7 linked regions of the Callithrix jacchus genome follow. The protein of the gene in region 5 purifies or fractionates together with the protein of the main gene of each other region. This does not show direct contact. Links are inferred from orthologs where the notes say so. Each region holds a gene or a part of one and is shown on either strand. Other genes may lie near its edges.

Region 1 (4,632 bases), on a different chromosome or scaffold from region 5:
ACTTCAACTGGACAGGAGAGCCAGCAGCCATCAACCCCTGTTCATTGTCAACGAAGAAGGCTGGGAGGCACTATTTTTTCCAGTGCCAGAATCAAGCTCACTAGCCTAAGTATGCAAAACTAGCTTTCATCACTTGGACCTGTGTAAATGCCACTAGTAAACATAGAGCTTGGATGCTCCCAAAATATAATATGGCACTTTCACTAGGGCCAGAATGGGGAAGTTAGGGTATCCATTTATTTACTTCTTTATTTTTTGTTTTTTTGAGACAAGGTCTCTGTTGCCCAGGCTGGAGTACAATGGCTTGACCTCACCTCACTGCAACCTCGGCCCACGGGCTCAAGCAATTCTCCTGCCTTAGCCTCCTGAGTAGCTGGGACTACAGGCACATGCCACCATGCCTGGCTAACTTTTGTATTTTTTATTTTCGCCATGTAGCCCAGGCTGGTCTTAAACTCCTGAGCTCAGGTGATTTGCCCACCTCCGCCTCCCAAAGTGCTAGGATTACAGGTGTGAGTCACCGCAGCAGGCCTGTTTAATCCTTTCTGTACAGTAGACTGTGGTGATAGAAATGGCAAAAACAGAGTCCTGGCACTCAACAAAGGTAACAGGAACATGGACAAGTAGACATTCCAATGGCAATACAGTGTGATAAAGACAGTGGAGGGACGCATGGGATGCCCTTCTTCTGTGTCATTGGGTTACAGTTGGGAAAGAGGTGAGCAAATCTCTTCTGTGAGTACCAACTCAGGGACATCCATGTTTCCGCTGCAGAAGGCCAAGCCAGCAGAAGGTTAGAAGCCATAAACCGAGTCCTGGCAGGATCAGTGCCACCCACTTTAACCCCAAAGCAGGGCTATCTTCTGCAACCGGAAAGGGTGGCATCTGACTCCTGGGCTGAATGCACCTTGCCCTCCGTGGTAAACTCTGAACACATAGAAGCCAAGGTTCCCCTCTGCCCTGCGTCTGCACCGGTGCTGCAGCGTTCCAGAACACTCTTCAACATCAGTCAGTTCAGGTAAAAGCAGGAGGGAAGCCCAGCACTCTACCTCTCCTAGAGAACCTCCCGAGGTTTCCAGAGGGGCAAAGGGTATTCAATCTATGCTAAATGAAAGATTGCCACCAAGTTCCACTTTGAAAAGCCCTGCCCAGGAACCCCATTTGCACAAGGCAAAATACAAAGACACCAATACCCTAAGATTATTTGGAAATCGGGAAAGCCTAGAAGATGAAGAGGCGCCAAGGACAGCCACGTACTGATTTCTGCTCATCAAGCCTTAGCCTGGGTTTGTCGCTAGGTGACGGGTCTTAACCCTAGGTGCGGCCCGGGGCTGAAGGCCATCCTGGAGACAAAGAGCCCCTTTCTCTGAGGAGCCGAGTACCCAAGTCACCGGCTGTCGCCGTCAGAAGACCGCTGACCGGAAGCCCTGCCCGCGGCGGTGGCGGAGACAGGCAGGCCTGGGCAGCCGCTAGTGCGGAGAGACGGCGCTTGGAAACTGAATCCGTTTTTTAATTAAAGTTTGTGCCGTTTTCTAGGCGCGTCCTGTGCCTCATTTCCGAGCTCGCGTTTCAGGGAAGCCCCCTCCGCAGCTACAGCCACGAAGGCTGGGCCAAAGAGCGCCACAGGCCCAGATCTCCCCCAAACCAAGTGAGGCAGGAAATATTTGCTACCACTCAGCTTCCGGCCCGCCCCTTTCGCTTCCGGTTCTGCCTTTCTACTTCCGCTGCTGTCTCGTAGCGGACTACTGAAGACTAGTTAGCGTCGACATGGCGGTTACCCTGAGGGTCTTGCTGGGCGGCCGCATTCGCGCTGCCGTTGCTCGCTGTGGGTTTGCGACCGGGGGAGTGGCAGGCCCAGGCCCTATCGGCCGAGAGCCCGACCCCGATACCGACTGGGAGCCGGAGGAACGGGAGCTGCAGGAGGTGGAGAGGTACAGGCTTCTCCCCGGGCCCTCAGCTTGAAGCAGGGCCTCGCGCCCCGGCGCCCTAGGCTGCGCCCTCGGCGCTGGGCGTCCTGTGGCCGCTTGCGCAACGTCCCTTGTTCCTTCTTACCCGTTGTCAGGGGCGCAGCGTCAGGTGTTCAGCTCCCCTGGAACCCCTGGTCCCTTCACTAGTGACGTATTTCATCACCAATATAGAAAGTTCGGCATCTCGCGGGCAGTTACTGTGTTCTAGGTGTTAGCTTTTGGGTGTACAGAGCAGCTCTAAGCAGGCAACATGGCCCGGTTGCCCTTGCAATCCTAGAGAAGAGGGCTGGGCGCTCCTGATTTAGCCTGAGGCTCTTCAAACATCCATTCTGCTTCCACGCATGGCTTCCGCCCTTGATTCTTTCCCCCAGCACCCTGAAACGACAGAAAAAAGCAATCCGATTCCAGAAAATTCGAAGGCAAATGGAGGCGCCTGGTGCTCCGCCCAGAACCCTGACGTGGGAGGCCATTGAGCAGATCCGGTAAGACTCAGTGCACCTCCTATGTTTCTGCTGTGATGAGAAGTGAAGGATACAGGATCCCAGAACACGGGTTTGGCTTTTATATTTTTGTTTACTTTTTGTCATTGAAATTTATTATCAGAAAAGTAGAGTAATATAACGAACTTCCATAAACCTGTCATCATCTAGATTTAATAGTGTTTTGTTTTGCTTTTTAAAGAGACGGGGTTTCGCCATGGTCTCAAACTCCTAACCTCAAGTGATCTGCCCACCTGGGCCTCCCAGAGTGCTGGGTTGTGTCCAGCCTGGATTTAATAGTTTTTTTTTTTTTTGTTTTTTATTTTGGGTTTTTTTTTTTTGGTTAGGCAACTGGAAAGATTTAATAGTTCTTAACGTTATGCCATGGTTGGTTCATTTTTGCTGACATTTAAAAAAAATAGTAACGGAGACATCACAACATTTAAGCCCTGAATGGTAGATCATAACCTTCCCAAGGTCCAGGGATGCTGGTGTTTCCATAGTTAGGTGCATTTTTCTGAATAGAGGATCCATAATTTAGGGAAGCTTAAAAGGGATTTTAAGGTTTTTTTGTTCTGAGTAGGTAAAGCATTACATAATGGCTTACTGTCTTTTTTTTTTTTTTTTCTTTTTTTCTCTTTTTTGAGACAGTTTCGCTCTTGTTACCCAGGCTGGAGTGCAATGGCGCGATCTCGGCTCACTGCAACCTCCGCCTCCTGGGTTCAGGCAATTCTCCTGCCTCAGCCTCCTCAGTAGCTGGGATTACAGGCACGCGCCACCATGCCCAGCTAATTTTTGTACTTTTAGTAGAGACAGGGTTTCATCATGTTGACCAGGATGGTCTCGATCTCTTGACCTCGTGATCCACCCGCCTCGGCCTCCCAAAGTGCTGGGATTACAGGCGTGAGCCACCGTGCCTGGCCTTGGCTTACAGTCTTAACAGTATAACATGGTATACGCATTGAGAATTATTTGTCCCACCCACTGTCCTGTGGATATTTTTTCACCCCTACGGATCACTGCAACCTCTGTCTCCTGGGCTCAAGTTATCCTCCCACTTCAGCCTCCCAAATAGCTGGGTCTACAGGTGCATGCCACCATGCCTGGTTAATTTTATTTTTTGTAGAGACGGTCTCATCATGTTGCCCAGGCTTGTCTCCAATTCCCGGGCTCAAGCAGTCTTCCCATCTCGGCCTCCTAAAGTGTTGGGATTATAGGCATGAGCCATTGTGCATAGCTGTACTATTTTTTTAATGGTTTTTCTCTACCAAAAATAGCCAGGCTCCGTGCCCTGGGTGAGTCACTGCGCCTGGCCCTTAATTCTTTTTTATAGATGGCATTATCATAGTTTTTTGAGGCAGTATAAGATAGCGGTTTTTAATTTAATTTTTATTTAAACATTGGTTTCCTCCTTTCTATTTAACAGAGATGAGGATTTCACTATCATGACCAGGCTGATCTCAAACTTCTGGCCTTAAGTGATGTTCCCATCTCGGCCTCCCAAAGTGCTGGGATTAGAGGTGGGAACCACCACGCCTGGCCAGGATGCATTATTTAACATGTCTTTTGTTATGAGCGTTTAGTTGGGCTATTTCCATTTCTGTTGCTCACTAATAGTGCTCCAGTGAATAATTTTGTATATGTATCATTCTACGTACTTGTCAGGAATATTTTTAAATACATTCCCAGAAGTAAGGTTGCCAGGTCAAAAGACAGATGTATTTGCATTTTGATAAATATTGCTAAGTAGCCCTATGTAGGTTATGTATTATTTTTTATTTCCATCAGAATGACTCTGGAATTGAAATTTAAAAGGGGATTCTGTAGAGCTGGATAAGATTTTGTGAGCCTGTAGCACCTTCTGGATCCTCGGTCAGGTCTGTCTCCTTTTTTTTTTAAATTTGTTTTTGTTTGAGATAGTCTCACTCTGTCTTCCAGGCCAGCGTGCAGTGCTGAAATCTCAGTTCACTGCAGCCTCTACCTCCCAGGTTGAAGAGATTCTGGGACCTCAGCCTCTGCCTCCAGGGTTCAAGAGATTCTTGGGTCTCAGCCTCTTGAGTAGCTGGGATTTCAGATGTGCACCACCACACCTGGCTCATTTTTGTGTTTTTAGTAGAGATGGGGTTTCACCATGTTGACCAGGCTGGTCTCGAACTCCTGACCTCACATTTTCCACCTGCCTCAGC
Region 2 (3,552 bases), on a different chromosome or scaffold from region 5:
CAACCTTATCTATTGCTTAGTCATAGCACTCCAAGCTCATTTCAGGCAGGACTGGCATGCTCGGGGATTTCCGTGCAGAGCTCATTTGTCAGGTAATGGGGGACTTTCAGCGTTGAGGCTGTCCATGGAGCTGGAGCTTTAATTTGCTCTGTCATAACAAGAGGTGCCTCTGGGTGGACAAATGTGGGCTTCAGGTGGGTGATGCTGGGCAGTCTTCTGAACAACAAGTTGGCTGGGGTGGGGGTGGGGGCTTAGTTTCCAGCTCAGGTGAGGTAAGGAAACCTCAGTCCTGAGAATCTGGACCAGAATTAGAAAACTGCTGCTGAGCAAGACCTGACGGCTCCCTTCTTGCTCTGGCTCTCAGCTCATGGATGCACACGGGGCTCCTGTCTCTGCCGGGCACATTCTCAGGTGACCCCCCACGCTCGGCCTTGGACTCTGGAGCTACCTGGGGTCTTGGCATTGTGACCAGCAGCAAGGACTTTGCTTGTTCTCTGTACAATGATCTTGTCTGTGTGTGTATGTTTCTCAACCCTTTCCCTTTTTCTTTTCATTTTTAGTAGTATTTCTGTAATGAGCACATTTCTGTTGCCATAGAGAAATTTGGCTAATTTTTTTTTCTTCCTGATTTCCTTAGAAATCCTAAGTAATGCACTGAAGAGAGGAGAGATCATTGCAAAGCAGGGAGGAGGTAGGAACTACTTAGTTTGATGTTTTGTTTTTTTAGAATAGGCTGTTATTGGTGGGGACCATAGAGCTTAGTGGTGAGAAGCATGGGCTCTGACACAGACTCCCTGGGGTGGGACCAGATCTGCTGCTTTCTAGCTGGGTGACATTTGGCAAGTCACTGAACCTGTTTCTCATAGCACTCATTTGTAAAATTGGAGTGTAATAGTACCTGCCTCAGGGATGCTGTGTGGAGAGGGAATGTGTGTGAAAGAGTACTGAAGCCTGTGCTGTGCACAGGCCGACCATCCTTACTGTCAGAGTACCTCGAATTTGGGGATTTTGTTTTCCACACTATAAATCCCTAAAAGTAAATATGTTTCCTTCTACTTGGTAAGTAGAAGAAATGTAATAAATGCTTACTAAAATAGATACATGTACTCAGTAGGAAAATAGGAAGAAAGTGTGATCTGAAGCCCTGCACCCAATGATGAGTGCTGGAAACATTCTGTTCTGCACCTTTCATGAATACACAGTTTTATGGATGCCTAGAACAAAATACACTTTGTGGGGGTTTTATTGGAGACAGTCTCACTCTGTCTCCCAGGCTGGAGTGTCATGGTGCAATCTCGGCTTAACTGCAGCTTGGACTTCCCAGGCCTAAGCAATTCTCCCACATTAGCCTCCCAAGCAACTCTGGGGCTATGGGTGCATATCACCTGGCCTGGCTAATTTTTTTGTATTTTGTGTAGAGACAGAATTTTGCCATATTGCCCAGTAACTTGAACTCCTGGCCTCAAGTGACCTGCACACCTCCAGAGTTATGTGATGACTGGTGTGAGCCACCACGCCCAGCCTAAATGTACTTTTTAGCCTGATTTTCTTCAAGGCTCTGAGTGTCTTGGCATCTTCCCTGCTGACTTCTGTGTTGGGCTTGCTCTGGAGCTCCACACTGGCACCATTTTTCCCCAGTTTTTGCAGCAGTTGGCATTGGGAGTTGCCTCATTTCTGATGTCTTTGGGCAAAGTGCCGATTCTCACTAGGTTCCTTCTACTGTGGGGAAGTTGGTTAGCTTCTGAGGCCTCTCCCCTCTGAAAATCTTCCATTCTTCAAGTTGGGCTTTTTGCTGCTCAGTGTGCTGCTGGGCAGTTAAGGAGCAGCAGAGCCACTCGGCCATGGTCAGTTAGAGAGCCAGTTAGAGAAACTGCTGAGTTTTCTCTTGAATTGGTATCTTGGACTAGAGCTCCTTGGATCAGTCACAGGCTGGCACGTGGCTGACAGCCACCCTCAGAGCCAGGCGGCGGCATTTGCAGGAGGAACCCTGAGCTTGGCATGTGGAAAGGGGTGGCCTTACTGATGGAGCCAGACCCTTCCTGTCCAGAGTTGCAGGGAACCACCAGTTGGGGTCCTTTCATTTTGCTGACTGACCCCAGCCGCTGCCAGAGCCAACTCTGCAGTGCCATCGACATCTTCTTTCCAAAGCTAGCAAGATATTTGGTTTCCCCAACAAAAAGGTCCCCTGAAGTGGCCAGCTGTGTGCATTTGTACACAGAGGATCTCTCTTGGTGTGTGTTTTCTTGACCTCTGCAGATCTTTTCTCTGTACCCTGGAGTGCTGAGGAAATGCAGCTGGTTTGGCCCCCAGCAGAGCATCCTAGGGGACAGGGTGGGAGCAGACAAGTGGGAGTGACTCTGACTTGCCTGCACGTCACTCCTTTTCATGACCCTGGGTGGCCCTCTGAGTGGGGGGTGTCCATGCCTCCCCCCGGAGCATTTCTCAATGTCTGCTGATGGAGAAACCTCAGGTCTCAGCAGTTGACATCTGTGGCTCACAAAGCTTGTCACAGACACTAGCACCTCACAGGCACATGCAGGAGAGTTGTGTTATAGAAATCTGAGCTGTGGCATAGAGCAGAGAGAATGCTCTGAGGCCTCCCTGTACCCACCACTCAGGCTGTAGCTGTTGTCAACATTCAAGGGGTGTCTTAATGGTAAATTATGGTGGGCCTTTACCTCTGATCTGTGCCCATGAGCTGAAGTGGTCTGGCATGTTGTGCACATGCACACACAAGTTCTTGGCACTCACTGTGTTTTGTGTCCCTGTTTCAGGTGGAGGTGGAGGCAGCGTCCCTGGGATCGAGAGGATGGGTCCTGGCATTGACCGCCTCGGGAGTGCCGGCATGGAGCGCATGGGCGCAGGCCTCGGCCACGGCATGGATCGCGTGGGCTCTGAGATCGAGCGCATGGGCCTGGTCATGGACCGTATGGGTTCCGTGGAACGCATGGGCTCTGGCATCGAGCGCATGGGCCCGCTGGGCCTCGACCACATGGCCTCCAGCATCGAGCGCATGGGCCAGACCATGGAGCGCATCGGCTCTGGCGTGGAGCGCATGGGTGCCGGCATGGGCTTCGGCCTCGAGCGCATGGCCGCTCCCATCGACCGTGTGGGCCAGACCATTGAGCGCATGGGCTCTGGCGTGGAGCGCATGGGCCCTGCCATTGAGCGCATGGGCCTGAGCATGGAGCGCATGGTGCCCGCAGGTATGGGGGCTGGCCTGGAGCGCATGGGCCCCGTGATGGATCGCATGGCTACCGGCCTGGAGCGCATGGGCGCCAACAACCTGGAGCGGATGGGCCTGGAGCGCATGGGCGCCAACAGCCTCGAGCGCATGGGCCTGGAGCGCATGGGTGCCAACAGCCTTGAGCGCATGGGCCCTGCCATGGGCCCGGCCCTGGGCGCTGGCATCGAGCGCATGGGCCTGGCCATGGGTGGCGGTGGCGGTGCCAGCTTTGACCGTGCCATTGAGATGGAGCGTGGCAACTTTGGAGGAAGCTTCGCAGGTTCCTTTGGTGGAGCTGGAGGCCATGCTCCTGGGGTGGCCAGGAA
Region 3 (3,856 bases), on a different chromosome or scaffold from region 5:
GAAGCCGGGTGGGCATCCTGTGCCCAAAGGTGTCTGAGCAGGGGCATGGGGAAGATCTGGGTTCTGGTCCAGGCTTCGCTACCACCTTGGGTAAGTCCCTTGCTTTCTCTGAGGCTTAGTTCCCTTATCTGAAAAGCGTAGAGCAGGACTGGATAATTCTTAGAACTCTTTCTAGCTCTTGGATTTTGAATGTGTGTATATAAGCCCAAAATTACACAAGAGAATGGATTTCCATACACAAGCGCAGGTGGGAATGACAGGGTGAGTTTGATCAAGGAAAGATGACTGCAGAGAGTGGGAGTTTTGAACAAGATTTTTTTTTTTTTTTTTTTTTGAGACAAAGTTTTGCTCTGTCGCCCAGGCTGGAGTGCAATGGCGTGTTCTCAGCTCACTGCAACCTCCGCCTCCCAGGTTCAAGCGCTTCTCCTGCCTCAGCCTCCCGAGTAGCTGGGATTACAGGAAGGAGCCACTGTGCCCAGCTAAGATTTTATTTTATGTTTTCAATTGTTTGGAGACAGGATCTCACCCTGGTGCTCAGGCTGGAGTACAATGGCATGATCTTGGTTCACTTTAATCCCCACCTCCTGGGCTCAAGGGATCTCCCACCTCAGCCTCCCGAGTTACTGGGAAGACAGGCCCGCCCCACCACACCCAGCTAAGTTTTGTATTTTGTGTAGAGATGGGGTTTTGCCATGTTGGCCAGGCTGGTCTCAAACACTTGGACTCAAGTGACTGCCTGCCTCAGCCTCCCAAAGTGTTGGGATTACAGACGTGAGCCACCATGCTTGGCTTGTTTTCTGTTGTTGTTATTTATTTTTTTTTTAGCAACCCGATTAGCTGAGGAACAGGATTTTTACAGGCAGAACAGGAACTGAGCTGGCCAAGGGGCAGCTGCACTGGAGGCTCCGGGTTCCTGGGCTCGGCACCTCTGTGCAGCTTTGGAAGATTTGTTTTCTGTTTCCCTGACTCCTGCTCTGGCTGGCATGAAAGGAGAGAGAGGTGTAGGGATAGCATAGTTCCCTGAGCCTTAGGTTAGAAGGCGAGTCTCAGTCCTTGTCCCTTAGAGGTCTGGAGAACCTAGGGGCTGGGCCCTCCAGCGTCCTTCCCTGGGATAGAAGCTTGTGTTCATGCCCCATAGGTTCCTGGGGTGACCGAGAGCCGCCCCTCAGTGCTACGGGGTGACCACCTGTTTGCCATTTTGTCTTCGGAGACACACCAGGAGGACCCCATCACTTATAAGGGCTTTGTGCACAAGGTGGAATTGGACCGTGTCAAGCTGAGCTTTTCCATGAGGTGGGTGTTGGGTGAACCCTGAGCTGCCGGAAGGATCTACAGGCTTTTCACCCCAGGGGAGGAGGAGTGTTTCTCCCTAAGATAAATGAGACCCCAAGGGCAGAGCAGGGAACTTTTCTTCAGGGGTATTCTGAGATGCCACAGTGGCTTCCTCTTGTAGAGAGCTTTGCTGTGAGGTCTTGGAACGTGGTTGGGACGGTGGTTGATGGAGAAGGTTCTGACCCTTTATTGCCCACTTCCCCCTCACAACAAATTCTTCCCTCCCTACCTCTGCCCAAAGCCTCCTGAGCCGCTTCGTAGATGGGCTGACCTTCAAGGTGAACTTCACCTTCAACCGCCAACCCCTGCGAGTCCAGCACCGCGCCCTGGAGCTGACAGGGCGCTGGCTGCTTTGGCCCATGCTCTTTCCTGTGGCATCTCGAGACGTCCCGCTGCTGCCCTCGGATGTGAAACTCAAGTGAGACTGTGGGCAGGGAGCCTCTTGGCGCGTGGGCACAGGGGAAGGAGTTGGGGAGGCCTCGGGGTCACTGGATGACTTCAAGTTCCCATTCCTGGTCCCTCTGCCAGGCTGTACGACCGGAGTCTGGAGTCAAACCCAGAACAGTTGCAGGCCATGAGGCACATTGTTATGGGCACCACCCGTCCAGCTCCCTACATCATCTTTGGGCCTCCAGGCACCGGCAAGACCGTCACATTAGTGGAGGCCATTAAGCAGGTGGGGCCTGAGCACAAACCTGGGGCCTGCACTGTGACTCCCCCAGCACCAAGCCTGGTTCATTCCCACTCCCCTGCAGTGCTCATGCCTGTAATCCCAGCACTTGGGGAGGCCTAGCCCGATGAGTTCAAGACCAGCTTGGACTGTCTTTATGAAAAAATAAAAAAATTAGCTGGGTATTTGAGGCTGCAGTGTGCTGCGATGGTGCCACTGCACTCCATCCTGGGTGACATAGTGAGACTCTGTCTCAAAAAAAAAAGGCAGGGGGGATTGGGGAGTACGAAGTTAGGGTAAACGTTGCTGTGGAGCACTGTTGCACAGGTAGGGCACTCCGTGACTCTTGGAGTCACCATTCACATTTCAGTCATCAGAGGCTTGCACCGCCCCAGCCTGAGTACGGCCAAGTCTCAGGAACCTGCCTCCCTCACTGCGCGTATCTGTATCTCAGGTGGTGAAGCACTTGCCCAAAGCCCACATCCTGGCCTGCGCTCCATCCAACTCAGGGGCCGACCTCCTCTGTCAGAGGCTCCGGGTCCACCTTCCCAGCTCCATCTACCGCCTCCTGGCCCCCAGCAGGGACATCCGCATGGTACCTGAGGACATTAAGGTACTAGGGAAGTGCAGAGGGCCAAAGAACGGCGAATGCTGGGGAGGCCAGGAAGCTAGGAGATCTGGATTCTGATACTTGCTGTGTGGCCTTGGGTTGGTCAGGACCCTCCCAGGGCCTCAGTTTGTAAGTGAGGAAGTGGATAAAACGTTTGGGGGGGTCAGGTGCCATGGCTCACACTTGTAACCCCAGCACTTTTGGGGGGCTGAGGCAGATTAGGAGTTTGAGACCGGCCTGGCCAACATGGTGAGGCTGTCTCTATTAAAAATACAAAAAAATTGGCTGGGTGTGGTGGCACATGCCTGTAGTCCCAGCTACTCGGGAGGCTAAGGCACGAGAATTGCTTGAACCCAGGTGGCGGAGGTTGCAGTGAGCCGAGATCGCGCCATTGCACTCCAGTCTGGGCAACAGAGCGAGACTCCGCCTCAATAAAAAATAGAAATAAAAACAAGTATCTGGGGGCCCACAGCCGGAGTCTGGGTGGGAATGAGTGGAGCCAAGCTGATTCCTATGGTCCCTTCACAATCCACAGCCCTGCTGCAACTGGGATGCAAAGAAGGGGGAGTATGTTTTTCCCGCCAAGAAGAAGCTGCAGGAATACCGGGTCTTAATTACCACCCTCATCACGGCTGGCAGGTGGGGAGTGTGTGTGGTTGTGTCTCTAAATCGTAAGTTTAACTAAAGGGGTAACAGGCTGGGAGATGGGGAAGAATGGTTTCTGGGGGGTGGTGGGATGAGGAGCCAGCCTGGGAAAGCATTCAGGTTTGGTAGCTGGGTGTCTGGATATGACCCCTGCCTGGCCTGACACCTCCCAGGTTGGTCTCGGCCCAGTTTCCCATTGATCACTTCACACACATCTTCATCGATGAGGCTGGCCACTGCATGGAGCCTGAGAGTCTGGTAGCTATAGCAGGTGAGGGACTCAGGTGGGGCTGCAAGTGTACACCCTGTGTGAGGTCAGAGAGGCTGCACCACTTACCTTTTTCCCCACACCTCTTCTGCTTCCCAGGGCTGATGGAAGTAAAGGAGACAGGCAATCCAGGAGGGCAGCTGGTGCTGGCAGGAGACCCTCGGCAGCTGGGGCCTGTGCTGCGTTCCCCACTGACCCAGAAGCATGGGCTGGGGTACTCACTGCTGGAGCGGCTGCTCACCTATAACTCCCTGTACAAGAAGGGCCCTGATGGCTATGACCCCCAGTTCATAACCAAGCTGCTACGAAACTACAGGTATTCCCATGCCCT
Region 4 (3,820 bases), on a different chromosome or scaffold from region 5:
TTTTTATGTTTTGTTTTCAACACATAATAATTGTAAGCCTACTTCTTTTTTAACATACAAAGGTGCCTTCTAGTTTGTGGTGAAATAAAAAGGATTATTTATTTGCTTTCACTTCTTTGGATTTTAGAGAATACTATATTGGTAAGAACAGTCTCCAAAAGTAGTTCAACAGTCCTGTAGACATGGTAATAAGTTTTTTTTAAAGAAAATGTTCAACTTTAATATTAATCAAAGAAATACAAATTAAAATAGCAAAGATATCATTTCTCAACTAACAAACTGGCAAAGATCAAAAAAACTAACGTACATCAATAAGGAGGGTATGAGGGGGAAAAATAAAACACACAGTCCTCTAGGTAGAAAGATAAAGTACCAGAATCTTTCTGGTAACACAAATCACAAGCCTTAAAAATGGGTATATCCTTGACTCAGCAATCCCATTTCTAGGGATGTATCTTAGAAATAACTAATGATATATGCAACAATGAACATATAAAGATGTAAATATAATTTTTAAATTAAAATTTTTAAGAGGGAATTATAAAATCAGTGTGCCCATATGACAGAACATAATAAAAATCAGAGCAAGATTTTTTCCAGTTTTTAAAAGGAAGATTTATTTAACAAGTTTCACTTAGTACAATACATCTAAATGGAAATCACAATACAAGGAAAGATTTAAACCAAAGCCTCAGAATCTCATACAAACGACACGACCAAACTTCTAAAGTATTGGTATTACATCTTAAAATTGTCCCGTATCCTTTAAAAAAAAAAAAAGTAAAAGTGTACACTCACGTGCCTTACAGAGTATTAAACCAAAAAGCTAGAATTAACAAACATGCCAAATGTTTTCACTTTGAATCGTAGACACAGCTCCTATATTTGAGTTTTACAGAAAAGCATGTTTCTCAACATGCATCCAAAGTTTTCAATGTATTTGTGGTATAAGAGCAACATTTAACATAAGTGAAACTGCATTAACCTAAATAAGCTTACTGCTTAAGTACACTCCTACAACATAACTAACTTGAGAAAAGCTAAAAATCGTTTAAACAGTTATGGTCAATACTGAACTTTGTTATTATGTCCTAGATGAATGTTTCAGTGTTCAAAATTACTGAACTTGAAGTTTCAAAATAATCTCAACTCCCACTTTACAGTAAGCATGAATCACAAGCCTGTAATGCAAAACTGTTAAACTTAACTTTTGTTTTCTTAAAAAAGGAGAAAGATAAAGAAAGAGAAGCTGACCAAGAGTGATCAGTATCAATAATATTTCCCATATGCCAATCATACTGGATATACTAGACATCCCTCCCATTCTATTCAACTCCCATAAATGTACAGCTTTTATATCTAGAGTAGCTGTTTAGTGCTCCTTCTCTACCTAAGCAAGGTTTGACTGATAGTCACTGGAGTTTTCCTGGAGAACTTGGTCATATCCACTCATACTGCTCTGACCACCATAACCACCTCCATAACCACCACTCAGCTGCTGGCTAGCAGGACCGCCATAACTAGACTGGTTGGATAAGCCCATCCCTCCCATCATTTGGCTACCATAAGCGCCACCACTTGCCCCTGCTGTAGAATTCAAAAACAGTTCTACATAGCTGTGATCATAAGCCCCTCCACTTGTTCCTGCAGTAGAATTTAGGAAGAGCTCCACATATCTGTGTTGCATATTAGCCTTGTCTTTTGCCATAGCTGCCACAGCATCTTCATGAGTAGCAAATTCAACATCTGCCTCACCAGTAACTCTGCCATCGGGTCCAATTTCAATATGTACTCTCATGGGATTAAGAGGTGAGAAGAAATTATAAATATCATTCTCAGTGGCTCTGTAAGGTAACCCCCTCATGTGTACACAGTGCCCTGTGGTGCTCTGGAAACTGGACCCACCATCTCCATATCTATGATCAGACATTCCTGAAAAACAGTAATTGAGGTCTCTTCCAAATCTATCTGACCCAAAGCCATATCCATCATTATAGCCACCATAGTCATCATAGCCTCCATACCCTCCACCATAGGCACCACGCCTCATCCTTTCAAACCCAGCTCCTCTGCCAATGCTATTATACCCTCTGCCAGCCCCTGGCCTATCATAGGGACCTGGCCGCTGCATAGCCATGAGCTTTCGAGGGGGATCATAGTGGGTTCGAACTTCAGCTCGGCTACTCTTGAAGATCTCAATGTACCTGTGCCCTATTCTTTCCTTGTGTTTCTTTAAGGCCTTCTCAGCTATCTCCTGCGAAGCAAACTGCACAAAGGCTTCCCCTGTGCTTCGCCCCTGAAAGTCCACTGGCAGTGTCATCCCATTTGGCACAATTTCCAACCCTGAAAAGAACTGAACGATCTCTTCCTTGCTACAGCCAAATGGGAGTCCTCTAAGCCGGACGAAGCCATCGTTGGCAGTATCAGGGCTATTCGGACCTGTATGCTTCAACACCCAATCCATTTCAACACTGTTAGACTTGAATACTTCAACGTATCTGTGTCCCATGGTTTCTCTGTCCTTCTTCAAAGCCAATTTCACTTCCTCTTCAGATTCAAGTTCAACAAATGCTTCGCCACTTGGTCTTCCTTCTCTGGTGTAGATGAAACGAATACCTGATGTGCCATTTTGGATCTTGCAATCAGAGAAGAAGCGCATCACTTCATCAGCTGAGCAGGACCAGGGTAGGCCCCTGACCTTCACCACGAACCCCTCCCTGCCTTCTGTGCTCAGCATCATGGTGACTGTTGGGCTCTTGGTGGCAAGTTTGGCTCAACACAATTTTGGTGTAGCTGGAAAAAAAAAATTAGAAGACTACTGTCATGGAAAAATGCTAATACAGTAAAAGAGAAAAGCAAACTATTAATAGAAAACTCAATTATGCTGACAGCTTTGCTGTAAGACATCTGTATAAACAAAAAAGAATTCACCAAATTTTTAACTCATTCATTTTTTAACAGTTATTTATTCAATGCCTATTACGTGTTGGATACCATTAAAAATTAACAGCAATTGGCCAGGCACCGTGGCTCACATCTGTAATCCCAGCACTTTGGGAGGCCGAGGCAGGTGGATCACCTGAGGTCAGTAGTTTGAGACCAGCCTAGTCAATGTGGTGAAACCTCATCTCTACTAAAGATACAATTAGCTGGGCATAGTGGTGGGCACCTGTAATCCCGGCTACTCAGGAGGCTGAGGCAGGAAAATTGCTTGTACCCAGGAGGCAGAGGTTGCAGTGAGCCAAGATCACACCACTGCGCTCCAGCCTAGGCAACCAGGGCAAAATCCCATCTCAAAAAAAAAAAAAAAAATTAACAGCAACAAATAAATGGGAGATGTCAACAAATAAAAGATGGCTATATCTGAATATATAAACATAAAAAACTTCACTAGATCAAAAGATTAAACAATAATTAAAACACAAAACACAAGTTATATAAGTTCTTTATATAATATCCTTATATAAAAATGTAGGCAAATCAATAAAATCAGGGATATATTTAGGCTTCAGAGATAAATGAAAAAAAGACATTATTGGGAATTCACACATTCATTTTAGAAACATCTTGTAGTTGCCAAGTCCAATACTCGGCTCTAGCATACAAGAATCAATAAGCCCACAAAGGGCTTATGGTCCTACAGGGGGATTGTATGTAATTATTAAAGACATAAATGCAAATAGACATTATAATTGCCATGACCCTCTGGGTGAGGTGTAAGCACAGTATTAAGGAGGGAGCAGTTGATCAGTTCTATTGTTTGGAGGCCAAATGGTTAAATGAAACAGACTAACCTGTCTAGGGATCCATAAACAAAATT
Region 5 (4,638 bases):
CTTGATGATGCTAGTTTCCAATTCTGTTTAGTGGTCAAAATAAAAGTAAGATTGGGTTAACTGCCTTCCTTCCTCCCAAACTATGGTGACTCCATCTTTGCATTTCATTCTCTGGGAAAGGCATTCAGTTGAATAATCCAGTCGTAAGAAAATTGGCCTAACTCCATGACATAGAGAGATTTCCATAGCGGCACAAACACACCCTCCAGCCTTGAAGGCCTTCATGGGAGATCTAGGGCCACAGGCAATCAGAAATTTCTTGGATCCATCAACTAAGCGCCTAAGGTCCCAAAGCATTTAAGATACTAAATCCTTCTATGACACTAATCTAACTCAAAGACACCATTATCCACTTATCTCTACTAATTGGGAGTGAGGCGGCCCCAGCTTAAAGCTAGGAGGAGGTAGCATAGCAAGCCCATTTAATATACCATGCAGTGTACCAGACAATGCTTCAACAGCACCAAGAACCCAAGCTCTAAAAGGCTATTCTAGCTGTCACACCAAGTACTTGGATCACTGGATACCTACCACTACCACCGCCAAAGCCGCCTCCGCCTCCGTTGTTATAGCTGTCATAGCTGCCACTCCCGCCATAGCCACTGCCCTGGTTTCCATAACCCTGTCCACCACTTCCATAGCCTCTGCTTCCTCCAGAGTAACCAGGGCCGCCTCCTCCATAACCACCTACAAGAATACAATTCTTCTCAATAAGACAAAAGTATTTGACAATGAAAACTTGTGCAAGTGTAATGGCTGAAGGCCTGCTCACAGCATGCGTGTTATGGGAAAAGTTGAGCTTGTCATGCACTAGAATTTTAGTCTTGACTAACCTATTCTAAAGACACAGGTTGCCAGGAATTTTTATCTACTTATTCCTAAAAAACTTACCATCATTGCCAAATCCATTATAGCCATCCCCACTGCCACCATAACCACCACCACCACGGCTGCCACCAAAGCCACCTGGAAGAAAACAAAGTTTTAAGTTTTAAGCATGATCTGCATATCAAATGACATTCTGGATGCACTTCCTGTACTGTAAAACCTGCATAGCAAAGATGGTAAGAAGTCAGAACTACAGGTAAATAAGCCGTACATACCACGACCGCTGAAATTTCCTCCACGACCAAAGTTGTCATTCCCACCGAAACCTCCTCCACGACCACCACCAAAGTTTCCAGAACCACTTCGACCTAAAGAGATGAAGTTTAAACGTTAAATCATTCATACTGGAGTAACTGAAAGTTGCTTTTAAGGTTTAATGAAGCAATAAGCATACCTCTTTGGCTGGATGAAGCACTAGCCATCTCTTGCTTTGACAGGGCTTTCCTAACTTCACAGTTGTGGCCATTCACAGTATGGTATTTCTGAACTAAAAAAAAAAAAATGAAGACAGGTACAACATGGTCTCAGGGTTTAGAACGCCACATGGACTGCGGAACCCTTACTAAATACCACTATTTGATACTTACTGACAATCTTATCCACGGAGTCATGGTCGTCAAAGGTTACAAAGGCAAAGCCCCTTTTCTTGCCACTGCCTCTGTCCGTCATGATTTCAATCACTTCAATTTTTCCATACTGTTCAAAATAATCTCTTAGGTGATGTTCTTCAGTGTCTTCTTTAATGCCACCAACGAATATTTTTTTCACAGTTAAGTGGGCACCTGGTCTTTGAGAATCCTAATAGGAGGAAAACCACAGGTTTAGATTAGCCAAACCTACACCCAAATAAAAAAATTTTTAAGTACAAAACTCCTGAATCCAAATACACTAGCAGCACATCGCCAAAAGAATTGAAGGGTAAAAAAACCACTCACTTCTCTTGAGACAGCTCTCTTTGGTTCCACAACTCTTCCATCCACTTTGTGTGGCCTTGCATTCATGGCTGCATCCACCTCCTCCACAGTTGCATACGTGACGAACCCAAAGCCCCTGGAGCGCTTGGTGTTTGGATCTCTCATGACCTGAGAACAGTGTTAATTCATGTAACAAAGTCTGACCCCAAAAACTTTTGTAATTTTAACTTTGAACAAGGGAATAGGAAACTTTATACCAGCCCTGTACAAAAACCCCTCCAGTTTCCCACTATCCTAGGTTTAAGAGGTAACTCTATCAAACAAAGCAGGACTTTCCTTCGTCAACAAGGCTCTAGCTATAATACTACTAACAACCTTCCTAAGTATTCAGAGAGAACCGCCCCAAGATAAACCAAGGAAATCCACTATTTTACTGTTTGGTCCCTTCCAATTCTTACCACACAGTCTGTGAGCGTTCCCCATTGCTCAAAATGGCTCCTGAGGCTCTCATCGGTTGTTTCAAAGCTCAACCCTCCAATGAAGAGCTTCCTCAGCTGTTCCGGCTCTTTAGGAGACTACAGTGGGGGAGGCGGAAGTGTTAAATGAGCTGTAACACCAAACAATTTCCATCGAGGAAAATCAAAACTAGACAACTGTGTATGTAGCACTTATTGTTCGTTCAGATTGCAACAAGCCATGTGCTTCTCTCTAACAGGGGAGAAGGTATGTTGGGGGTTGGGAGTGCTGCGAAATCCAAAGCGCATGCGTCCCTAGTCGCCTTCCGACGCACGCGCAACAAAGGCTTAGGCGGGAGGGGTACATCGCCAAAATGGGACTAATCGCTCTTTTAAAAACTCGCTCACCAAAGCAAGGTTTAGAAAAGGAAAAGCCTTATGTGCGTAAGAATTTTTGCTAAGACTATAGAGTGCTGCATAATAACTCATGATTGGCGCGAGCGGCCTCATGGCGATCAACAGGACAAAATGGCGACTTGAACTTTGGGAGGGGTAGGCCGTGGCAGCAACCTAAAAAACTGTAGAATGGGCTGGTGAAAGGAACGAAACCAAGCCGCATCTTACCAATTCAGGAAAGGAAGAGGAAGAAATTCAAGTTGGAAAGAGCGCCTAACTCACCTCTGACTTAGACATGATCGCGGGGAGAAGAGAGACTTTAACGATGCTGCTTCGGCGGCGTCCACGGGCAGAAAGGAGCAAACTGACGAACGTATCTGCCAGCCTACCTTCGGCCTTTCTTTTTTACCCCGCCTCCTCCCTTTCAGCATTGGTACACTCCGCCCTTGAACAGTTCTGATTGGATGTGTGAAATCTCTTCCCCCTACTATTGGCCTGTGGTGCCACACTGCTGTGTAACGTCATTCCTTTGGGCGGTCTACGCCCTCTCCACCCCTTGGAGTTCATTGGTTCCCGAGTAATATTATTCTTAACCAGTCTGATTGGCCAGCCGATAAATCATTCATATTTGAATATACCTTGGGTGTTTAACGCCTTTTTAATCTTCCCCGCACAAATATTACGCTTGGCAAAGCATGATTAACACTATGTGTCAGAAAAGCAGTTAGCCAGCAGGTCAAAATTTTGACTGCTTGTTGAGCGCACGTGTAGTAAAATGGCGAGTTTTGCGCAGGCGCATTAAGAACTTCCAGCAGCCTCTGGGAACACGTGAAATGGCGGGCAGTACTAGGCAGTGACCCTACGGCGCCTGCGTATTGGCGGGAGTTGGTTCCAGCTTTGCGCATGCGTGGTGGGCGGAGAAAGGGTCCGTTCCCGGATTGGTTGCGCAGGCGCAGGGAAGGATCCGTTTTGGCGGGCGGTTGGCGTTGCGCAGAAGGTGGTGGCGGTGGTGGCTTGCGTTGCGGCCTCACCATACAGCAACAGGGCAGACGTTAGCGTGAGTGATCACTCTCAATCCCGGGTAAGTGGCAGACAGTCTTCTCTACCCATCGTAGGTCTCGAACTGACTCTATTTGGGCCCGTTATTGTGTGAAATGAATGGACCGCGGGGTGGGGGATAGTGAAAGGGCAGCGGTGGGTCGGGCCAACCAATAGAAGAACAGGGGGCGGGATGTTTTAATCCCTGTAGGTTCTTTGGAGCGGTGCAGCTGAAGACTTTGACTGGCTTGCGTATACGCCAATTGGGTCTGCCTTGAGCTGCCGACTGATGGGCCCTTGGGGCCATCGGAATGTGGGAGACGGGTTTCCCCTCCTGAGCTGCGTCTCACTGAGCCAGTAAGCGCGAAGCGCGCGGTAGGTTGGGCTTCTCCAGGAGGCAGCGGTTTGACTCCAATGGGGAATGCGGGAGTCGGGCGGTTAAACTGATGGACCGAATCTGGAGCCAGTAGACGGACAGCCTAAGGAAAGTGCTCGGACCAGTCGTCCAATCGACTCCAGAAGAGGGAGGTCTTCGATTTGGGGTTGTGAGGAAGGGGAGTCGGTGAATGTAATGGCGTGTGAGGGTGAATGTTTTATCCACAGTGACTTCTCTAAGGAAGCCTTTAGGCCTCTGTCCCATAAACCTCCTTGAAAGCGTAAGTTTGCTCCTGGCTGCCTCGACTTGACATTTTCCCCCCCACCTCCTCACCACTTGAGGTTTGGAGAACAGGGGAGGGTTTTGTTGTTGTTAAGTAATACTTTGAGAAGTCGCTTCTTTAGGAAGCTGTTAAAATGTTAGAACGAATAGGAAAAATCACAACATACTGTCATGGAAAGGCGTTCGAGAAATATTTCTTTCCTAATAGTGCATATTTCTGAACTAATATGTTGTAGGTCTAATAAAAAAGTTTCGGAAAGCTACACCCTAAAGTGTGTCAATCCTAGGG
Region 6 (4,593 bases), on a different chromosome or scaffold from region 5:
AACATAGCAAGAATTCATCTCTACAAAAAATAAGCTGAGTGAGATGGTACCTGCCTGCAATCCCAGCTATGCTGGAGGCTGAGGCAGGAGGATCACTTGATTGCAGGAGTTTGAGGTTACTGTGAGTTACAACTGCACCACTGCACTCAAGCCTGAGTGACAGAGAGACTCTGATTCTGTCTCTACAAAAATAAATAAATAAATGTTAAAAAAAATCATTCAGAATGGTTTGCCTGCATGCTTCTATAGTTCAAGAATTTATAGGACTCTAAGGGCAAGAATTCTCATCATCATCTCTAACCCTCCACAGTCCTTAGTTGATGGGGAACAAAAACCAAGGATCAGTGTAGGGGCCTGTCTTAGACAAGACGGTGCCTCATTTGCCCTGTGTTCCGCTTCCCTAATCCAGGCATGTGTATTCTGGCTGTTCTTCAAACCTAGCTTTGCTCTGAGCATCTGCTGACCATTTTAATTCAGGAAACCCATTCTATGGCTTCCTTGACAAAGAAACCCAAGAGAGAAAGAACAAACAGCCTTCTTTCTCAGTCATATCAGTGTTTTTCCTTGCCACCAGCAGAGTTACCTTTTTCTTCGGTCCATTTGTGTGCACGTAGACTAGTTTGTCTTTTGCATGTGAGATGCCAAGGGCTCTTCCAATCACACTGTTGAGAAGATTTTTGGGCTGTGGGAACTCTTTTAATAAGTCCCTAGAAGCTAAGAAAATAAGAACAAAACATTACAATTGTTCTTTTTCTTTTAAAAACTCCATGGTGCAACCCTGGGCTGGATTCTGAGGATGTTGGCTCATGACCCCAAACCACCCAGGAGCATCTTGAAAAACAAAGGAGGAATGACTTCAGGGTTTACAGGGGAGAGTGGGGCAAGACCCACTTGAATAATTCACTCCAATAACCACCTCTTGAAAGAAAAGGGCTAATGACCCATACACCACAGAAGGGAATGTACCAGCATCCTCTTCCCCGCCCGACCTCCTTATTTCATACATCAGCTACAGAAGCCTGGTTGGTTAATAAACCCTCCTAGTCTGATGTCTGAAAGAAGGTACTAAACAAACAAACAAACAAACAAAAAATACAAAACAAAAATTCACCACACACACAAACTGGAGATCAAGACAATGCAAGGCCCCTCCTAAAATGATACACACAGAAGAGAGGCCTGGCCGTATGTATCTCAAGTGATGAGACCCAGACACTGAATACCAGGCCCCGGCTCTCAAGTATACCTAAGCACACTGCAAAAGGCTTCCACAGAGCCAAACTATGTGTGGGGACTGATTAAAGACCTCTACAGCTGGTCACAGTGGCTCATGCCTGTAATCCTAGCACTTTGGGAGGCTAAGACAGGCAGATTACCTGAGGTCAGGAGTTCAAGACCAGCCTGACCAACAGGGTGAAACCACCGTCTCTACTAAAAATACAAAAATTAGCTGGGATTGGTGGCTAACACCTGTAGTCCTAGCTACTCAGGAGGCTGAGGCAGGAGAATCACTTGAACCCGGGAGGCAGAGATTGCAGTGAGCCGAGATCACGCTATTGCACTCCGGCCTGAGCAAAACCCCGTATCAAAAAAAAAAATTAATTAATTTAAAAAGACCTCTACATCTGAGCAGGAATGAGTTATTCCTCCTCCAAGTTCTCTGGAATCACAGAGAAAACTGATGCATCAGATACCATGAGAGGTGCCTTGCTTCTTTTCACTTGTTTTTTGGATCAATCCCAGAGCAGAAATGGGTGAGATGTCTACCTAGAGGAAGCTTGTACCAGACACAAGGCTTAACCAGGTCATGAAGAGGTCTGCTAGGAACATGGGGGGCGGTCCATATTCTCCACTCTAGACTCTGGCAGTTCCAAAAGGAGCACTCTATATGCACATGTGCACCTGCATGTACACTGATCACCCGGGGAGCTTTTTCACCACATGGGCATCCAGCTCCCCACAGGGCACCTGAGAATGGCAGCGATGTTGGAGGAGGCTCTTTATTTTGAAAAAAATGCCTCCAAGCATTCTGATGTAACTCTGCTGCTGGTTTGAGATTGTTTCCTTGGAACAGAGTCCTGTGTCAAGTGGCCAGGATGGAGAACACCTGGTCCGGTCTCCCTCTAAGCGGTCACTTGTAAAGCAACTAAGATTCAAGCAATTAAGAAACCATATATAAGTGGACTTCGGGGGACTGGTCACAGAAGTACCTAACTCTGAATAGCCTAGTAGATCCACTGGTTTAACAACAGAGGTGCACTGAGACCCCCCCTTCAGCTTTATAAGGTTGGTGGAGACTGGCGTTCTCTACCCAACTTCGATGCTTTCGCCAGCTTTATTCTCTGCACTATTCGGGAGGCACAAAGCTGGAGTCCACCAGAGCAGTCATTCTGTATCTATTTGAGATCCTGATGTCTCAGGAGTATTTTGGGCTATTTCTCACACTGGTGAAGGCATGCTTATCCCTAGAAGCTCTAGCCCTTGTTTACTCACCCTGGCAGGAGTTGGACTTTTACTCGTTTTCCTCACTGTCTCGAGGTCTCGCGCCTCTCAACTATTCCTGCCAGAAGCAGGTAGGTTCTTAAGGGTCTATTTGGGCCTGTGCCACGCTAAGCTTTACAAACAGCAGGGCGGCGTCCCGCCGGCGGATGGCGAACTTGGCCGCTATGAAAGAGAGGACCCCCGGCCGCTAGGCCGGGTTTCGGCCCGCGCCCCTAGCGCCGCCATCCCAGGAGTCAAGGGCGTAGCCGCCCACCCTCGCTGCTGCCCTCACCGTTCACCATTGTTCCGTCGCCTTCCCCAGGCCCGCCCGGGGCCATCCCTGACTCGGCCTCGGTGCAGTCGGAGGGGGCGCAGCCTGAGGAGAAGCTGCGCGACCGACTCTGTGGTCCAGCAGAGCGGGTACCCAGCGGCCGCAGGCGCGGGGAGACGCCGGCGACCAGCCCCATGAACCTCTTGGCGGCCGCCATCGTGCTCCCGCCGACCCCCGCGGCCTGTGTGCTGAAGAGACCTGGCGAAGAGAACGGGAGCAGCCGGCCTGAGCTCTGCGCGCCCCCTGCCGGCCGGGCGGACCCGACGGCCGAGCCTGGACGAGGGCATCCGCTCACTACAGCCCTGAGCGCCCAGGAGTAGGCAGGCTCGGCGCGGCCCAGGGCTTGGAACCTGCCGAGCTCACTCTCCGGCAAATCTAAACCGGCAGTCACGTGGATCGGAGGCAGGAAGACGGAATGGGTCTTTGGGGGAGAAAATAATGCTAGGCCTTAGCTCAATGTCATATAAGGAAGCGAAGTTAGTTCCCTACCAATTGTTCCTATCTCTCAACTTCTCAACATGCTTCTGGCAAATCGGCAGCCCCATTTTGTTTTTGTTTTTTTGAGATGGAGTCTTGCTGTGTTGCCCAGGCTGGAGTGCACTGGCTAGATCTCGGCTCACTGCAACCTCTCTTCCTGGATTCAAGTTATTTTCCTGCCTCAGCCTCCCAAGTAGCTGGGATTACCGATGCCTGCCACCACACCCAGCTAATTTTTGTATTTGCTATTTTTTTTTTATTTTTAGCAGAGACCAGGTTTCCCCAGGTTGGTCAGGCTGGTCTTGAACTCCTGACCTCAGGTGATCCAACCACCTCGGCCTCCCAAAGTGCTGGGATAACAGGAATGAGCCACCACGCCCTGCCACCCCATCTTATTTAATGGCTTACAAAGTAAACCTGGTGAAGATCTGGAGCCAGGACAGGGTGTGGTGGCTCACAGCTGTAATCCCCACACTTTGGGAAGCTGAGGCAAGTGGACTGCTTGAGCCCCGGATTTTGAGACCAGCCTGGGCCACATAGTGAGACCCCAACTCTATTATGTTTAAAAACGAAAAAGATCTGGAGGCAGGCCAAGGAAGACCTCTTCTTCAACATAAGCAGAAACAGATGTAATCCCCAGGGCTGGAGGGGAAGGTGAAAACACCCAACTTTGGAAACCGCCAGGAACTGAGCTGGTCCAGCGTGAAGTCCAGCAGTGAAATTGCTGTTCCTGGCCGGACGTAGTGGCCAACGCCTGTAATCCAAGCACTTTTGAGGCCAAGGCGGGCGGATCACCTGAGGTCGGGAGTTCAAGACCTGCCTGACCAACATGGTGAAACCCCATCTTAAAAAAAAAAAAAAATTGCTGTTCTGCACTTGCTGGAACGCCAAATAGGATTTCATTTCCAAAATATTCTGCCTGGATCTTAGCCAGGCTCATTTCTCTTCTGCCTCCTATGGCCTTGAGGAGCAGGGCTCTGGGTCAACTAGGAATTAGACTGAATCTGTATGTTGAGGGTAGTGACAGCGCAGAGCCAGGGCCTCAAGGTCTCAGTCTCTTGGCGGGGCAGGGGGTGGGGGAGCACAGTGGGAGGGAGACTTGTGTAGGAGGTAGTGGCAAAAATATTAAGGGAAAAACGGTAGAGAAAGTTACACGATATAGTCTCAAACCCTTTCGAAAAGCCTGCAAGTTTTTTCGTATTTTCAGGAGAAGTTTTGGCTGAAGGCAGCCTAAAACCCCCTTACATTTAGTTAATAAGTAAAGCAAAGGCCAAACATGGTGGCTCACGCCTGTAATCCCAGGC
Region 7 (3,841 bases), on a different chromosome or scaffold from region 5:
CATCTGGTAATCTCCTGTGATTATAGGGTACTAAGCCATGCCTTCACTGAACTGGCAGACTAACAAGACTGCTAAAGCAGCAAGAACCATGAAGGGTATATTCAGTGTTGTAATGGAGAAGTGTTACGGGTGCTTTGGGAGTTAAACACAAATAGAACTGTCCAAGGAGGGGGCCAACTCCTGTTGGTCTTCTCAAGGATGTCTTACAAAGAGCCCTGTGGTGGGTGGCGGGCAATAGGGAATAATTTAGGCCTGTTGCTGGGCATGTGTTATGTATCCCTAAGTAGAAGTGCCTTAGTATTTGTGGGATACCATGAAACTTAGAACAAGCTAGTAGGGGTCATTCAAATCTACGTAGTGTGTTCACTCTTAAAATGTTACTGTGAAGAGATAAGACCTACTGGGAGAGAGCTTAAAATCTAGACACTGAAAACCTCTAAGTTGCATGCAGGTAGTAATGTGAGGGTCTGCTGGTAAGATTTCAACTGGAAGTTCTTTGTGCAGTTTGTATGTAAAGGCATTGGAATGCCTGGCCTAGGGGAAAGCTGTGCTGTAGGAAGGTTAACTGGTAAGGATGGGTGGTGTAGGCCGGGCTCTAGGTAAGGACCTAGAAAAGACTGCTTACCTGGTTTGAGTGCCAGTTGTGTTGCTTAGAACAGTGGTTCTCAGAAGATTTGTGTCCATCCCAGACCCACCAAATGGGAAACTGGATGTGTGATTCAGCAATCTGTCTTAACTCTCCCCCACATGGGCTTTCACACACTGAAGCAAGTTAATGAACTTCTGAGCCTAGGATCTCCTCTATCTTCTAAGGGGGACCATTATACCACCTCTCAATTGTGGAATAGTAAGTAAGATAATGTGAAAGGGCCTGGAGGTGGCTACCTCTTATCTTGCGGAGTGTAAACTACCAAATGAGTTGCAGGTAGGGCATATTTTAAAATGTTTTATCAGCATTCTAATAACGAGGTAGCCAGGGTCCTGTGTGGGTTAGCTTTCCTAGTGAATGAGACTTCTGGAGGTTGCAGAATATTTCAAGGAACCACAAAGTGGGTACTTGTAAAAATGTGGTTCTCAATTTTGGTTATATGTGAGAATCACCCAGGGAGCATTTTTAAATACATAAAGCCTGGACTTTGCCCATTTAATTGGCTTAGAATAGGGCCTAGACATCAGGGTTTCTTTTGTTTTTTTTAGCTTTCCGAGGTGATTCTGATAGGCAGCCTGGGTTGGAAAGTACTTGGTTAGGAGCTTGACGTACTTGATGAATATTACCCTAAGATTAGGTATGATAAGCCTGGAAGAGAATTAATATTTTTGGAGCCAGATTCTGGTCAGATTTATTCTCCATTAAAGGAACATTGAAAACTAAGTTTTCTTCTGGTTTTTAAACTTAGTGGGGGTTGTTAGATAAATTCTGTCCTTGACAGTAACACAAGAATGGATCTCCTGTTCTTCTGAAGGGCCTGCTATGGTGTGCTGCGGTTCATCATGGAGAGCTCGGCCAAAGGCTGCGAGGTTGTGGTGTCTGGGAAACTCCGAGGACAGAGGGCTAAATCCATGAAGTTTGTGGATGGCCTGATGATCCACAGCGGAGACCCTGTTAACTACTACGTTGACACTGCCGTACGCCATGTGTTGCTCAGACAGGGTAAGCAGCTGAGAGTGCTTGGCAAAGGGCATTTGTGGACACATTTGGTTTTCCACAGACATCTAAGTATTTGGGGAGTTTATCATGGAAGTGGCTGGGCATGGTCATACTCCTTGGCATGTTGATTGCCATATTTATCTGTAAGAATTGAATTGCTGATACCTTTTAGATCCAAGAGTTGGTTTGTCCTTGTTTTAGCCATCTGTGTACCCTTCAGTGATGACACGATGACGAGTCAGAAAGGTCACATCCTGCTCTTGGTCCTTGACAGTGCCATGTTTTGTGGTGCTGTTCACAGGTTCCTTTTGCAGAAGTGTGTCCTATTCATTGATTGATTTAGAGGCATTTGTCTGAGAAGGGACCAGACCCAGGTTGCTTGAGTAAACTGCTTGCTCTCTTTGGTCTTGTGTGGTGGGGGCCAGTGAGACCCCCAGCTGTGTGCTAACAACTGTGGTGTCTTCTAGGTGTGCTGGGCATCAAGGTGAAGATCATGCTGCCCTGGGACCCAACTGGTAAGATTGGCCCTAAGAAGCCCCTGCCTGACCATGTGAGCATCGTGGAACCCAAAGATGAGATACTGCCTACCACCCCCATCTCAGAACAGAAGGGTGGGAAGCCAGAGCCGCCTGCCATGCCCCAGCCAGTCCCCACAGCATAACAGGTATGCCTGCAGGGGCAGGGGTCTCTTGGGGCAGAATAGGGTCCTTCCTAGTCTTTCTGTTAATAACTTGTATCCCATACTCTGGTGAGCATTTGGTGATGTGGGAGAATACAAGTTGAAACCTGGGATCTCTTTAACCCTCAGTTCTATTGGGACAGGTGTTTGCCTTTATTTCAGAAAGAAGTTCCTGCTTTTACTCCTGTGTATGAAATAGTTTTCCCTTATTTGCTCAAATACTTTATTTTATTTTTTTGAGACACAATCTTGCCCTGTCGCCCAAGCTGGAGTGTAGTGGCAACCTCTGCTTCTCAGAGTCAAGCAATTCTCGTCTCAGCCTCCCAAGTAGCTGGGATTACAGGCACCAGCCACCGCGCTTGACTAATTTTTGTATTTTTAATAGAGACAGGGTTTCACCATGTTGGCCAGGCTGGTCTCAAACTCCTGACCTCAGGTGATCCCCCTGCCTTGACCTCCCAAAGTGTTGGGATTATAGGCATGAGCCACCATGCCTTGTTGCTCAAGATTTTGTAGATACTTTTGCTAGTAATTGGCTATTCTGTCCTTTAGCAGCCCCTGTAAAACAAGCCTCCTATGGTCAACCTTTGGGGGTTTTTTGTTTCTTGGTGTTTTATATTTTGTGTCTCTAGGAGCCTTGTAATTATTTTATGTGAAAAAGGACAAACGTTTATGTATGTATTTTTTGTTAGTGTTGCTAAGTGGGCGTGTGTATCCATTTGGTAAATGAAGGCTTAGTAACTCCAGTAAAGTTTCTTAATTTTGTGGTTTATTTGGTTTCAGGGTCTCCTTGGCAGCTGCATTCTGGAGTCTGAATGTTGCTCTGTAACGATCTTTAATAAAATACTGTACAAAAGACACAAGGCCTGACTAGACTGTTCATTCAGACTGAGGGGCATGTTGATCTGCAGAACATTACATATCTTCTTGGTTTTAACCATACTTGTGGTATTTGCAAGGACCAGAACAGTAAGACCCAAGCAGAACTAACTAGAGAAGTATCTGTGTAATAGCGAAGGCTGATGGCAAGCGAGGCAGCACCTTGATTCGTTGTCCTGTAGTTCAGGATTGTATGTTTAGAAGAGGGCTATATTGAGTTTTTCCTGTGTAAAGTGATCCACGTTGCATATACAAAGTGAGTATAAATGGCCATTATGTTTTCTGTCATGCTGTGTTCTAAGTGTTCTTCACATACGTACTCATTTAATCAAGCTCTATAAAGTGTAAAGGAAATTTGCTTGTGCCACCATATTTAAGGATCAGAAGTAAATTTGCCTAAGCAGTAAAAAGCTGTCCTTAGAATCCACATTCCTAAGTTGTGTTCTCTAGACCATTATGTGCTGGAGAACTATAAAGAACATTTAAATTGTCTCTGATTTTATCTGTCAGTGTTCTGAAGTATTTTCTACCAGTATGTATTTTACAAGAAATTGGGCACTATTTACTCAGGAAAAACTAGTGAGAGAGAGGTTGGCTTGAAAATCATGAGACTGCTGATAAATCAGATTCTGGCT

Evidence for each region.
Region 1: the proteins of HNRNPA1 (region 5) and NGRN purify together in Homo sapiens (affinity purification with mass spectrometry; 3 studies listed by BioGRID and IntAct, counting the BioPlex papers as one, with this or other methods). This does not show direct contact. The link is inferred for Callithrix jacchus from reciprocal best matches to the Homo sapiens genes HNRNPA1 and NGRN.
Region 2: the proteins of HNRNPA1 (region 5) and HNRNPM purify together in Homo sapiens (affinity purification with mass spectrometry; 6 studies listed by BioGRID and IntAct, with this or other methods). This does not show direct contact. The link is inferred for Callithrix jacchus from reciprocal best matches to the Homo sapiens genes HNRNPA1 and HNRNPM.
Region 3: the proteins of HNRNPA1 (region 5) and MOV10 purify together in Homo sapiens (affinity purification with mass spectrometry; 3 studies listed by BioGRID and IntAct, counting the BioPlex papers as one, with this or other methods). This does not show direct contact. The link is inferred for Callithrix jacchus from reciprocal best matches to the Homo sapiens genes HNRNPA1 and MOV10.
Region 4: the proteins of HNRNPA1 (region 5) and HNRNPH2 purify together in Homo sapiens (affinity purification with mass spectrometry; 3 studies listed by BioGRID and IntAct, with this or other methods). This does not show direct contact. The link is inferred for Callithrix jacchus from reciprocal best matches to the Homo sapiens genes HNRNPA1 and HNRNPH2.
Region 6: the proteins of HNRNPA1 (region 5) and DHX30 purify together in Homo sapiens (affinity purification with mass spectrometry; 3 studies listed by BioGRID and IntAct, with this or other methods). This does not show direct contact. The link is inferred for Callithrix jacchus from reciprocal best matches to the Homo sapiens genes HNRNPA1 and DHX30.
Region 7: the proteins of HNRNPA1 (region 5) and RPS3 fractionate together in Homo sapiens (co-fractionation; 3 studies listed by BioGRID and IntAct, with this or other methods). This does not show direct contact. The link is inferred for Callithrix jacchus from reciprocal best matches to the Homo sapiens genes HNRNPA1 and RPS3.

Annotation. Positions count from the first base shown.
Region 1 is NC_133507.1:19,384,388-19,389,019, forward strand, and holds the start of NGRN (neugrin), read left to right. Parts: upstream 1-1,739; 5' UTR 1,740-1,767; coding exon 1,768-1,931; intron 1,932-2,338; coding exon 2,339-2,449; intron 2,450-4,632. UniProt on the Homo sapiens protein: Plays an essential role in mitochondrial ribosome biogenesis.
Region 2 is NC_133523.1:8,000,698-8,004,249, forward strand, and holds part of HNRNPM (heterogeneous nuclear ribonucleoprotein M), read left to right. Parts: intron 1-637; coding exon 638-691; intron 692-2,774; coding exon 2,775-3,552. UniProt on the Homo sapiens protein: Pre-mRNA binding protein in vivo, binds avidly to poly(G) and poly(U) RNA homopolymers in vitro. Involved in splicing.
Region 3 is NC_133508.1:150,657,098-150,660,953, forward strand, and holds part of MOV10 (helicase MOV-10), read left to right. Parts: intron 1-1,138; coding exon 1,139-1,293; intron 1,294-1,573; coding exon 1,574-1,750; intron 1,751-1,860; coding exon 1,861-2,008; intron 2,009-2,456; coding exon 2,457-2,615; intron 2,616-3,147; coding exon 3,148-3,251; intron 3,252-3,430; coding exon 3,431-3,528; intron 3,529-3,624; coding exon 3,625-3,841; intron 3,842-3,856.
Region 4 is NC_133524.1:97,712,515-97,716,334, reverse strand, and holds the end of HNRNPH2 (heterogeneous nuclear ribonucleoprotein H2), read right to left. Parts: intron 2,794-3,820; 5' UTR 2,741-2,793; coding exon 1,391-2,740; 3' UTR 591-1,390; downstream 1-590. UniProt on the Homo sapiens protein: This protein is a component of the heterogeneous nuclear ribonucleoprotein (hnRNP) complexes which provide the substrate for the processing events that pre-mRNAs undergo before becoming functional, translatable mRNAs in the cytoplasm. Binds poly(RG).
Region 5 is NC_133510.1:65,267,790-65,272,427, forward strand, and holds the start of HNRNPA1 (heterogeneous nuclear ribonucleoprotein A1), read right to left. Parts: upstream 3,012-4,638; 5' UTR 2,951-3,011; coding exon 2,936-2,950; intron 2,378-2,935; coding exon 2,261-2,377; intron 1,971-2,260; coding exon 1,824-1,970; intron 1,687-1,823; coding exon 1,476-1,686; intron 1,376-1,475; coding exon 1,283-1,375; intron 1,197-1,282; coding exon 1,104-1,196; intron 967-1,103; coding exon 892-966; intron 688-891; coding exon 532-687; intron 1-531. UniProt on the Homo sapiens protein: Involved in the packaging of pre-mRNA into hnRNP particles, transport of poly(A) mRNA from the nucleus to the cytoplasm and modulation of splice site selection.
Region 6 is NC_133516.1:30,535,473-30,540,065, reverse strand, and holds the start of DHX30 (ATP-dependent RNA helicase DHX30), read right to left. Parts: upstream 2,991-4,593; 5' UTR 2,970-2,990; coding exon 2,774-2,969; exon of another isoform or gene 2,494-2,773; intron 715-2,493; coding exon 584-714; intron 1-583.
Region 7 is NC_133511.1:65,547,458-65,551,298, reverse strand, and holds the end of RPS3 (small ribosomal subunit protein uS3), read left to right. Parts: intron 1-1,463; coding exon 1,464-1,651; exon of another isoform or gene 1,652-2,115; coding exon 2,116-2,309; 3' UTR 2,310-2,312; exon of another isoform or gene 2,313-3,110; 3' UTR 3,111-3,183; downstream 3,184-3,841. UniProt on the Homo sapiens protein: Component of the small ribosomal subunit. The ribosome is a large ribonucleoprotein complex responsible for the synthesis of proteins in the cell. Has endonuclease activity and plays a role in repair of damaged DNA.